3 linked regions of the Saccharomyces cerevisiae S288C genome follow. Changing the gene in region 1 together with any one later gene gives a genetic interaction. Each region holds a gene or a part of one and is shown on either strand. Other genes may lie near its edges.

Evidence for each region.
Region 2: of GAC1 (region 1) and PIG1, changing one enhances a phenotype caused by changing the other (phenotypic enhancement), as found in Saccharomyces cerevisiae (one study listed by BioGRID).
Region 3: mutations in GAC1 (region 1) and HOT13 together harm fitness more than expected from each alone (negative genetic interaction), as found in Saccharomyces cerevisiae (one large-scale study listed by BioGRID).

The regions. Positions count from the first base shown.
Region 1 is NC_001147.6:668,369-672,131, reverse strand, and holds the start of GAC1 (protein phosphatase regulator GAC1), read left to right. Parts: upstream 1-1,890; coding exon 1,891-3,763. Other genes in the region: cleavage polyadenylation factor subunit SYC1, read left to right, coding at 1-287. UniProt on the Saccharomyces cerevisiae protein: Regulates the activity of glycogen synthase. It is most probably a regulatory subunit for protein phosphatase type 1.
Region 2 is NC_001144.5:689,064-692,826, forward strand, and holds PIG1 (protein phosphatase regulator PIG1), read right to left. Parts: upstream 1,967-3,763; coding exon 20-1,966; downstream 1-19. Other genes in the region: MCM DNA helicase complex subunit MCM5, read left to right, coding at 2,492-3,763. UniProt on the Saccharomyces cerevisiae protein: Regulates the activity of glycogen synthase. It is most probably a regulatory subunit for protein phosphatase type 1.
Region 3 is NC_001143.9:278,614-281,448, reverse strand, and holds HOT13 (Hot13p), read right to left. Parts: upstream 941-2,835; coding exon 590-940; downstream 1-589. Other genes in the region: ribosome biosynthesis protein RRP14, read left to right, coding at 1-424; malate dehydrogenase MDH1, read right to left, coding at 1,322-2,326; SRX1 (sulfiredoxin), read right to left, coding at 2,785-2,835. UniProt on the Saccharomyces cerevisiae protein: Required for the assembly or recycling of the small Tim proteins in the mitochondrial intermembrane, thereby participating in the import and insertion of multi-pass transmembrane proteins into the mitochondrial inner membrane.

The sequences.
Region 1 (3,763 bases):
ACAAGAACGTGCTATCTGAATCAGAATTGAAAGAGAGAAACCATAACGTTTGGAAGATCCAAGAATTGCAAAATCTGTTTCGAGAACAATTTGGAGACAGTTTTAGCATCGATGAAGGAATAGGAAAAAAAGAAAATGTAAAGAATGGTAGCGTCACCATAGGCAAGAGTAAAGCCACGATCGATTTCTCCACCATGAAGCTGATTGATTGTAATTCGAACCCACTAAAGGGAAGAGTGGAGAGCATACTAAGCATTGGCCAGAAATTAACAACTCCATTGTGCTGAACGTCATTACTTACCTTTTTATTTTCTTGTATGTGCTTTCATCTGAATTATTGGTGGATTATGTAACAAGTTGTTGAGTTTTCCCCATATAACTACTTCGCCAAGGAAATGGTAGGTGCGGGGGCGGAGAACGCAAACCAGCGTATCTATGGCTAAATAAGGAAGAAGCAACAACACTGTTGTAATTATGAGGCATACATAGACACAGATTCGTACATTATTTCCATAATACGTAGGAATATTACTCAAGGACAAGCGGATTTCAACCTTAAAAGGTGAGGAGTAGCTGCATGAGCATCGGTGACGGTGATTTCACCTTACTTTTTCGGAATACGAATGTACACAAGCGGCACAATAAAGTTTAACCAATCTTGTTTTACGTAGCTATTTTTATTACTCTTAGTTTTGTGTGTATCTGCAATGCTACGAAGCGCCTCCGTAAACACCAATAATCGGTGCTGGAGTACTCTTATCACAAAAAGCCCGAGCACGCACCATGTAATTTCCGAGATCTGTTACGCAAACAAAGGAAAGGCGGGAGTACCACAGCAGTGTCAAGGTCTATTGACGCACCCCGCAGGAAACGGCTTACGTAAGCTCCGTCATACAAAATGCGTAGAGACCATGCATTCTCCACACATCGTATTGAGCGAGTAGTGGGATGTGGTGGCTTCTTCTCGGTCCGAAAACTATATTTCTTCCGCGGAAAGACGCGCTGCTCCAAAGCGGCGACAAACCTCTTTTTTTTGCCCCTTCTTATGAATGCAGCAAATGAAGAGCGTCCTCGTCCGTAAGTGAGATGGCGTGGCGTGGATCTGCAGGCTGGTAACAGCCAAGCTAAAAGAACACCAGACAGACAATCAAGGAGGACGCGGCGAAAAAAATACTCACTGGGTTATGGGCGGTTATCTGCAGCAGAGTGGGGCAGTGGCCTAAAAAACATCAGGGGGTGAATCAACGTACGTCAAATCAACAGAAAACTACTGCTAAAAGAAACGAATACAACCCGAATCAACAGTTTTTCTCTATTTGTCGCAGTCTTTCCTCTCTAATTTTACTTTTTTTTTTTTTTTTTTTCTTTGATATCTTAGATTCCCTTCCCTCCCTATCTTTTTTTTTTTCTCGCAATCTGGGGAAAGCTTTTCTCATGCTTATACGTGATTTGTTATATAAGGGATTGCTATTTCAGGCATCATTCACCTCCTTTTGTATCCTTAGTTTCACTGCATTTGATATATATATATACGTATCTGTAGTTTCCTTCCATTACATAACGCATAATATACTATTTCCATAGTCTATCTTACATCTTTTTTCTTACTTTTGTTAAGGAACGGATAACGATAAAACAAAAAGAGAGATTTAAGATTACTTCTGTAACTTTTTTGATCCATTACCAAAACTATATTTTTTTTCTTTTCTCTCCTCTGGCATTAAACACAGTTATTGCTACAGCTAATCATCGATATAATAATACATCACATTAACTGTCTATAAGAGGCTGGTACTTAGTAGATGGTGAGAATTTTTTATTTTTGTATTTTAACTTCATTTTTGTAAACAAGTTGGAACTGGAACTTACTATAGAACAAGAGCTTAAACCATGGTAATACAAACTGCTACTACGTTATCGCCAGCTAAGGCGAGACCTTCTTTCCCTCATAACGATTTGATTAAAAGTATGTCAGACAGCCTTATAAGTCGCCCCACTCACCCTCCGATTAGGAAATTAAAGTCATCCTTGAAAATATCACACCCTGAACCTATTTCAAGATCAAAGTCAGAAATTTTCTGCACATCACCTGAGAAAAATGTACGTTTTGCTATTGAATTAACAACTGTTAAGAGATTTGATAAAAACGCGGAGCCAAGTTCTATCTCAAATGAAAACTCACCCACATTATCCCCTGTTGATAGCAATACCGCTGCTGATGACGTCCAGCTTTTCAACAATGAGGACTGCTGGTTCAATGATTCTTCGTTGGTCACAAACTTGCTGAAAAATGAAAAGAAGTTTCGTTATATGAATTCCTTAAACAACATGTTCAAGTTGGACCTTTATGATTCAGAAGATGAGGATGATATTGACGAGCACATCAATAGCCAGGCCGAGTATGGGTATACCTATAATTCTTTATCTACCCGAGGAAAAACTTCTGAAAATAAATCTGCTACCTCTTCACTGGCTACTCAGGCAACAAATATATGTGATTGGAAACTTCACTGCACAGACTTGGTTCCCTTCAAGATAGCCCCTCCACTATTTACCAAAACATTATCGGCCTCCGATTTGCAAGGTCAGCTCACAAAGTACTTAAATGGCCAAAATGTAAAACTGCATTCTCTCACTCAATTAGGCGATGATTCAAGCAAAATTACAGGTCTAGTGTACGTCAAAAACTTGAGTTTTGAAAAGTATTTGGAAATTAAATTTACGTTCAACTCTTGGAGAGATATTCATTACGTTACCGCCAACTTTAATAGAACGATAAATTCGAATGTTGATGAGTTTAAATTTACAATTGATTTGAATAGTTTGAAGTACATTTTACTCATCAAAAGAATCATTACTATGGAAAAGAATACAAGCAGCTGTCCACTCAACATTGAATTATGCTGCAGGTATGACGTTAATAATGAAACATATTATGATAATAATAATGGTAAAAATTATCACCTTTTCATGACTACCTTCAAGAAGGGCGGTGAAACGAAGGAAAAGATTCCAGTTGTCGTCGAGCCTGCTTCTCAAACAGATGCAGCCATGTCGCCGAAGGAAATGAAAGCAAGGTTCGTCTCCTCGAATCCCACTCTTTCAAGGTTTTTACCTCAATCAAGAAAGTTCAGCGAGGATACAGATTACTATAATACATCTCCATTGAAACATCTTTATCATAATGATACGACAAGCTGGGTTAAGCCCAAGAGATTGAACGTTGTTTTAGATAAACTTGAAAATGCTACCCCTCCTCCTCCTTCTTCTGCTTTGGCTAACGACACCGCCAGAACTGGTAAAATAACTAAAGATAAGAACAATGTGCTCGCCCCACCAACGGCCAGTAATAGTATTGACCTACCAATATTAGGATCTCAACATCAATCACTATATTCTGGTTCATCGTCATATTCTTCATCATCTTCCTCCATTTCCTCTTCATTATCCTTTGCTTCTTCAAACAATTCCTCCACAAATTCTTCTTCCGCCTCTTGTAGTTTCCCACTTACTGAGCTCGATAATTTTGATTATGCGAACCTATATGAACCTAATGATACCTTCACAACGGCCAATTTGTTTAATCATTCATTAAATTCCCTAATGCCGGAGATTTCTACTCCATCATTCTTCGGAGGCTTTAGAAATGAGAATACTATTAATAACAACGATAGTAAAAATTTGGTTACCTCTTTGGAGGATTCATATGAGGACAAACAAAGTGTTATTACAGATACTACTATGGACGAAAATAATAAAACTT
Region 2 (3,763 bases), on another chromosome or scaffold:
ATTGTAATATGGGCGATGGTTAGGGTGACGGCGACTTATAAAAATAATCACGAAAAATGTGAATTTTATTAGGGCTAAGAGAGGTTCTCTCCTCATATTCTCCTGAGCTGTCACTCATATTATCACCTGGAAAAAATGGTAATGAGGTTGTGGTATTCAAGGGAGAAATTTCCGGAGATGAGCTTTCCCTCCCGCTGTTGATATAATCTTGGTATAGTAAATCTTCTTCCGCCTTTATGGTTGCAATGGATAACTGAGAACAAGAGGCTGATTCTACTGGTCGCTCCTCTTTTCTTTTCATCAATGTATCGGTAGAATTATTCCAAGTGGTGTAGGTGAAGGAAGTTCTATGCTCATCATCGTGTAATGGCGTCTCGTTTAACGTGGTCCTTGTCTTAGCGCTTTTCCACTCTTTGGCCAAATTATCTTCAAGCTTTTGTGTTTTTGAACCTAAGGTCCTATCATCGGTATTTAATGTGAATGTGTCATCTATTATGGGAGGCCTGCTAAAAGGCTCTGGTTTTGGATAATTTTTAAATTGTAAGATATCTGAGTCAGCCAGTGCTTTCCCTAGTCCGTGGTTACTAAATTCCCAATAGTTAAAATCTTGTAGCGATAAGTCATATGAGCTATCGGACATGTCCTCATTAGTTTGGGAATCAGGCGGTTCAAAGAAATAATTAAATGGTTCAATTTCACAATCAATTGTTTCAGCTTTGAAAGTTTGGGATACAGGTTCGGTTTTACAAGCCGCTTTTGTTTCAAACGATTGATAAAATTTGTGCTTTAACGGGGAGTCGTTGTAGTAATCTGTATCTTTAATGAATTTTCTGAGAGGCTTTTTAGAATTTTCATTATTTTTCGACATAGTAACCTCTGCATTGCTAGCCCCCATTTTGGAAGGCCCAAGATTGGAATTAAATATCGATGAATTCGAAACCGCACGATTTAGATTTATTGCTGACAAAGAGATCGTTATTTCATAGTTTTTATAGTCATTATTATCGTAAAATGATCTATATTCGAAACCATTTACATCATAACGACAACAGAACTGCAAATTCAGGAGACAAGTAGTTTTCCTTTCAAAAAAGTTAGTGTAAATCAAGTTTTTTGATATTAGATTTAACTTCAACGCAGATATATCAATAATAAATTTGAATTCGTCAACATGAGGGGTGACAGACTTGTTGTAGTGTGCATTAATATAGTGAATATCTGCCCAGTTATTTAAAGTAAATTTTATCTCTATTTTTTTCTCGAAGTTCAAATTATTGACAAATATAAGGCCCCAGATTTGACAGTTACCAAAATTATTGCTACAAATATCCTCGTAGCTTACAGGATCAGATAGTTCTAATGAATGAACCTTTATATTTTGTCCATTTAAGTATTTGAAAATCTTGTCTTCCAACCCAGTAACGTCCACTTTATAGTCACTTTTGAATGGATTCAAATTATTACTGACCAGTTTCCAATCTGCCATATCGAATGTCTCCTCTTCACCAAAGCAGAGAATCTCCTTTTCAATGAACATGCTACGATCATGCATAAGCATTGCATTATCCTCTACGTCACTCTCGTTGTCATACTCAACATCCTTATTGTCATATTCTAAATCACTGTAATCTAAAATGTCTAAACTATAACGATGATCTTCACCTCCAATGAAGGGGAACGTTAGTGGAATGGCATTGTTATGCAAATTTCTTGTAAGATTTGAAGCGGCTTTTTCTGATATCGAGATAGGCGCCAATTTTGTGTTGAACTTTTTGACTGTGTATAAATGTGCAGCAAACCTTACCGATTTCCCTGATGATGAAGATGATGTCGACGAAGATGCAGATGTAGAGTCTTCTAGTGGTGAAAATGAATTAGAGGTTGTTGAGGAAACAAAAGAAGAAGTGGAGATTGTTTTTGCGAGTTTCAAAGACGGTTTAAGCTTCTTACCATGGCTGTAAGGCATTTGTAAAAACAAAGAGTAAAATTATTGACCTTATAACAAGCGTCAAAGAAACGAGCATAGAAGTATTATACGGCCTTTATTTGTCAGATTATACTCCAGACTTAGTAAAAAATTCAATTAAATTCCAAACTGCTTACCCCAGATTTAGTGAATAAGAGCCCTTTATTCTACCCGCTTATCTCTGGATGTAAAACAAATAAACGCGTAATAGAGCAGTCAAACTAACAGCAGTAAACTGTCAATATCAAAAACGTAACAATTGATTCAAATCAGTTTATTCTAAGCCGCCTATGCCAGCCTTTAATTTTCTTCTCCTCCTCTTCACTCCCAGGTTAAGCCATTTAGTTTGTTGCTATGCGGTGTGTGGCGTGTTTCCCTTTTAGGAAAAGTGATTACTTGCAGTTTCGCGAAATCTCGAAGAATTTTTTCAACTTATTGAAAGAACATGAATATACTTGTTAACGTGATTAAACGTTTTATCAGAACAACCTAAGAGTATCTCCTTGGTGAATTAGAAGCCAGATAATGTCATTTGATAGACCGGAAATATACAGTGCTCCTGTTTTACAAGGAGAATCTCCTAACGACGATGATAATACTGAAATCATAAAGTCCTTTAAGAATTTCATTTTGGAGTTCAGACTTGACTCGCAATTTATTTACAGAGATCAGTTAAGGAACAACATCCTTGTGAAGAATTATTCTTTAACGGTTAACATGGAGCATTTGATCGGATATAACGAAGACATATATAAGAAACTATCAGACGAACCTTCAGATATCATTCCATTATTCGAAACCGCGATCACACAAGTGGCTAAAAGGATAAGTATTCTAAGCAGAGCTCAATCTGCTAATAACAATGACAAAGATCCAGAAAATACTAGTATGGATACTGATTCTCTCTTATTGAACTCTTTACCAACATTTCAATTAATTTTAAACTCCAATGCAAATCAGATTCCATTGAGAGATTTGGATTCTGAACACGTCTCCAAGATTGTCCGTTTATCAGGTATTATAATATCCACGTCAGTTTTATCTTCCCGTGCCACGTACCTTTCTATAATGTGCAGAAATTGCAGACACACAACATCAATAACAATCAACAATTTCAATTCTATCACAGGCAATACCGTCAGTTTACCACGTTCTTGCTTATCTACGATTGAGAGTGAATCTTCTATGGCAAACGAGTCGAATATTGGTGATGAATCGACCAAGAAAAATTGTGGACCTGATCCATATATTATTATCCATGAGTCTTCAAAGTTTATTGATCAACAGTTTTTAAAATTACAGGAAATCCCAGAACTGGTTCCAGTAGGTGAGATGCCTAGAAACTTAACAATGACTTGTGACCGATACCTAACAAACAAAGTTATTCCTGGTACGAGAGTCACTATAGTAGGTATTTATTCCATCTATAATTCTAAAAATGGTGCCGGATCCGGAAGGAGCGGGGGTGGAAATGGAGGAAGTGGTGTTGCTATTAGAACACCTTATATCAAAATATTAGGTATTCAGTCCGATGTAGAAACCTCCTCTATTTGGAATTCAGTAACTATGTTTACTGAGGAGGAAGAAGAGGAATTTCTACAGCTAAGTAGAAACCCGAAGCTTTATGAAATTTTGACCAACTCTATTGCCCCCTCTATTTTTGGTAATGAAGATATAAAAAAAGCCATTGTATGTTTATTGATGGGTGGTTCCAAGAAGATATTACCCGATGGTATGAGGTTAAGAGGTGATATCAATGTACTATTATTAGGTGATCCAGGTACCGCCAAATCTCAA
Region 3 (2,835 bases), on another chromosome or scaffold:
GAATGATGTAAAATCACACTTAAAGTTATTAGAAGCCAAGAAGAATAAGATGGAGGCGAAAGACGAACTAGAACAAATCAAGCAGAAGGAAAAGGAAAAATGGCAAAAGGCTATGTTACAAGCAGAAGGAATTAAGATTAGGGATGACGAAAAACTACTTCGCAAAGCTATAAAGAGAAAGGAAGCACAAAAGAGAAAGTCTGCGATTGAATGGAGCGAACGTAAGAGGGTTGTGGAAGACACGATATCTGAAAGACAAAAGAGAAGAGAAGAGAATCTGAGGATTAGGAAAGACAACAAGGGTAAAAAGAGAAATAAGCAAGAAAAGATGAAAAGAAAGTATGTCGGTAGTGCCGTACCAAAGAAAAGAGCCGGATTTGAGGGTAGATTAAAAACAGGTAAAAAGAAGGGAGGACCTAAATAATAATCACGATAATAATAACAACAATAATAGATATATATATATGTATGAACATATATATACAGATACATATATATATATATATATCTATATATATACCATCGCATTTTTTCCTTAACGAGAAGAGCACAGCAGAGCTTAAGATGGCATGCATTTATAGAACAACACTCAACACATAGCGGGGGGAGGGTTCTGGAAATACAAATGGTAGTGCAATTTACAGCCTGGATTAAAGGGGGATCTGCAATTGGGACAAATAAGGTTTGAATTGTAGTCGTAATACTCTGCAAACGTCATTTCATGACGGCAAACTCCGCAAATAATCAAGTGTTTATTTGCATCGTCAAGGAGATCATATTTTTCTAGCGGGTGAGAACTTAACTCTTGGTGGCATTCAAAGCACGCATAGTACTTATCACAACATTTAAACCTGATGGCAATTACATCCTTTGGAAGATGCCAGTGGACACATCGAGATTGGTCATCCACTGTCTTACCATAAATGGCAGTTTCGATCATCTATATTTGCAAATTGTAAGTGGTACGTATTTTTTTTTTTATATCATATATGTATATTTAAAGAAACTCGTAAACCGAAACGTTTATTCATCATTATCATCATCATCATCATTATCATCACCATCACACCGCGCGCGCCTATTTAATCATTTTTGTTTTTCCTCGTCTACGGAAGAAAAAAAGGTGTAGGAGCAACGAATAGCATGAATTTTTCTCTAGTTGATTTTTGGCAGTTTCCTTCCTTTCAATTGGCTAAATATAACAAAGAATTAAATAAAAAAGATGTCGTAATCTCATGATGGCGAGTAGTCTTCCGTTCTTATTAGTAGAATTTTTTTTTTTTTTTCCCTATTTTTCACTCTATTTCTGATCTTGAACAATCTATTTACTAGCAACAAAGTTGACACCCTTTTCGATATTCTTCTTCAAGGTTTCTTTACATTTTTGTAGCATTTCTTCTTCTTCTGAAGATAACTCACCTATTGGATGGATCTTTTCAATACCATCTGGGCCCAAAGTGACCGGAGATGCAAAGAATTCGATGCCTTCGGATTTGAACAAGGGAGAGTCCACGAAGGAAGGCTCGATGACGTCTCTTTCGCCTTTGAAACCGGACAAAACAGCGTTAGCGAATTTAGCACCAGCATGGGCCATTGACAACGTAGCAGAGCCAGCACCATTCTTTGCTTTGACGACTTCGTCACCACCAAACTGTATTCTGTGAATCAATTCGTGTCTCTTGTCATCAGACATCAACTTATGGTTTGTTTGCGAAATCAATGGGATGATGGTAATACCAGAATGTCCACCGATGACGTTAACCCTTTCCTGAGTTGGATCGGTGTTCTCGACTTCTGAGATGAATCTGGCGGCTCTAATAGAGTCCAAGGTAGTCACACCGAACAATTTCTTTGGGTTGTAAACACCCTTGTTTTTCAAGACTTGGGCGACAATTGGAACGGTAGAATTGACTGGGTTGGAAATGACCAGAATGGCAGCATTGGGAGCGGATTCGGCGGTTGCTGCTGCCAAATCGCGAACGATGCTTGCGTTGATGGCGAACAAGTCATCACGTGTCATACCAGGCTTTCTGGGCACACCAGCAGGAATTAAAACCATGTCTGTGTCCTTTAAAGCGTTGTTCAATCCGTCTGGCTCTTCTGGAGTAAACCCCTTGACCACGGAGTTTGTTGGAATATGAGACAAATCGGTGGCAACACCTTTTGCGCCCTTTAGGTCGTACAGTCTTAAGTCCGTGACTTTATGGTTAAGCTTTAGAAGCAAAGACAATGGTTGTCCAATACCACCGCCTGCACCCAAAACAGTCACTTTATAAGGGTTGGCAACTGTAGAGGAAAACGCACGTTTAGCTACTCTTGACAACATTGTATATGGTATCCTTCCTTTTCCTTTTGTTTTTTTTCTTCCTTTCCGTAGATGTCCACGTATAATATATTGTATATCTATATGTGTATTCGTTATCTTAAGTGGAGGAATACAGTACAAACACCCAATGCGTGCTAACACTTCTTTTTAAAGCGCAAGCTATATATATTGTAATATCCGCCATTGTATTATGGCAACTTTTTTTTGTATTTTTCTGGGAATCCGCTTGGCGCGTGATTGAGCCAATGAACGCTGAGTGAATGCCGAGAAGGGGGGGAGAAGCTGGCAGGAAGGCCCAACCGCCAGGTCCCTTGTACCTCTCCGGCGCCGAGGGTCGCACAAACTGCTAGTGCCTACTCTAGTTGTTGAATAAGAAATTGATTAATTAAATTGAGGGATTTTGTATTAGTGAATTATAATTTATCTATGTTTCTTATGTAGTGTTATTAGCGTAATCATTATTCGATGTCGAGACTGCTGCCCAGGTACATGCGGATTTGGCGGGGAGT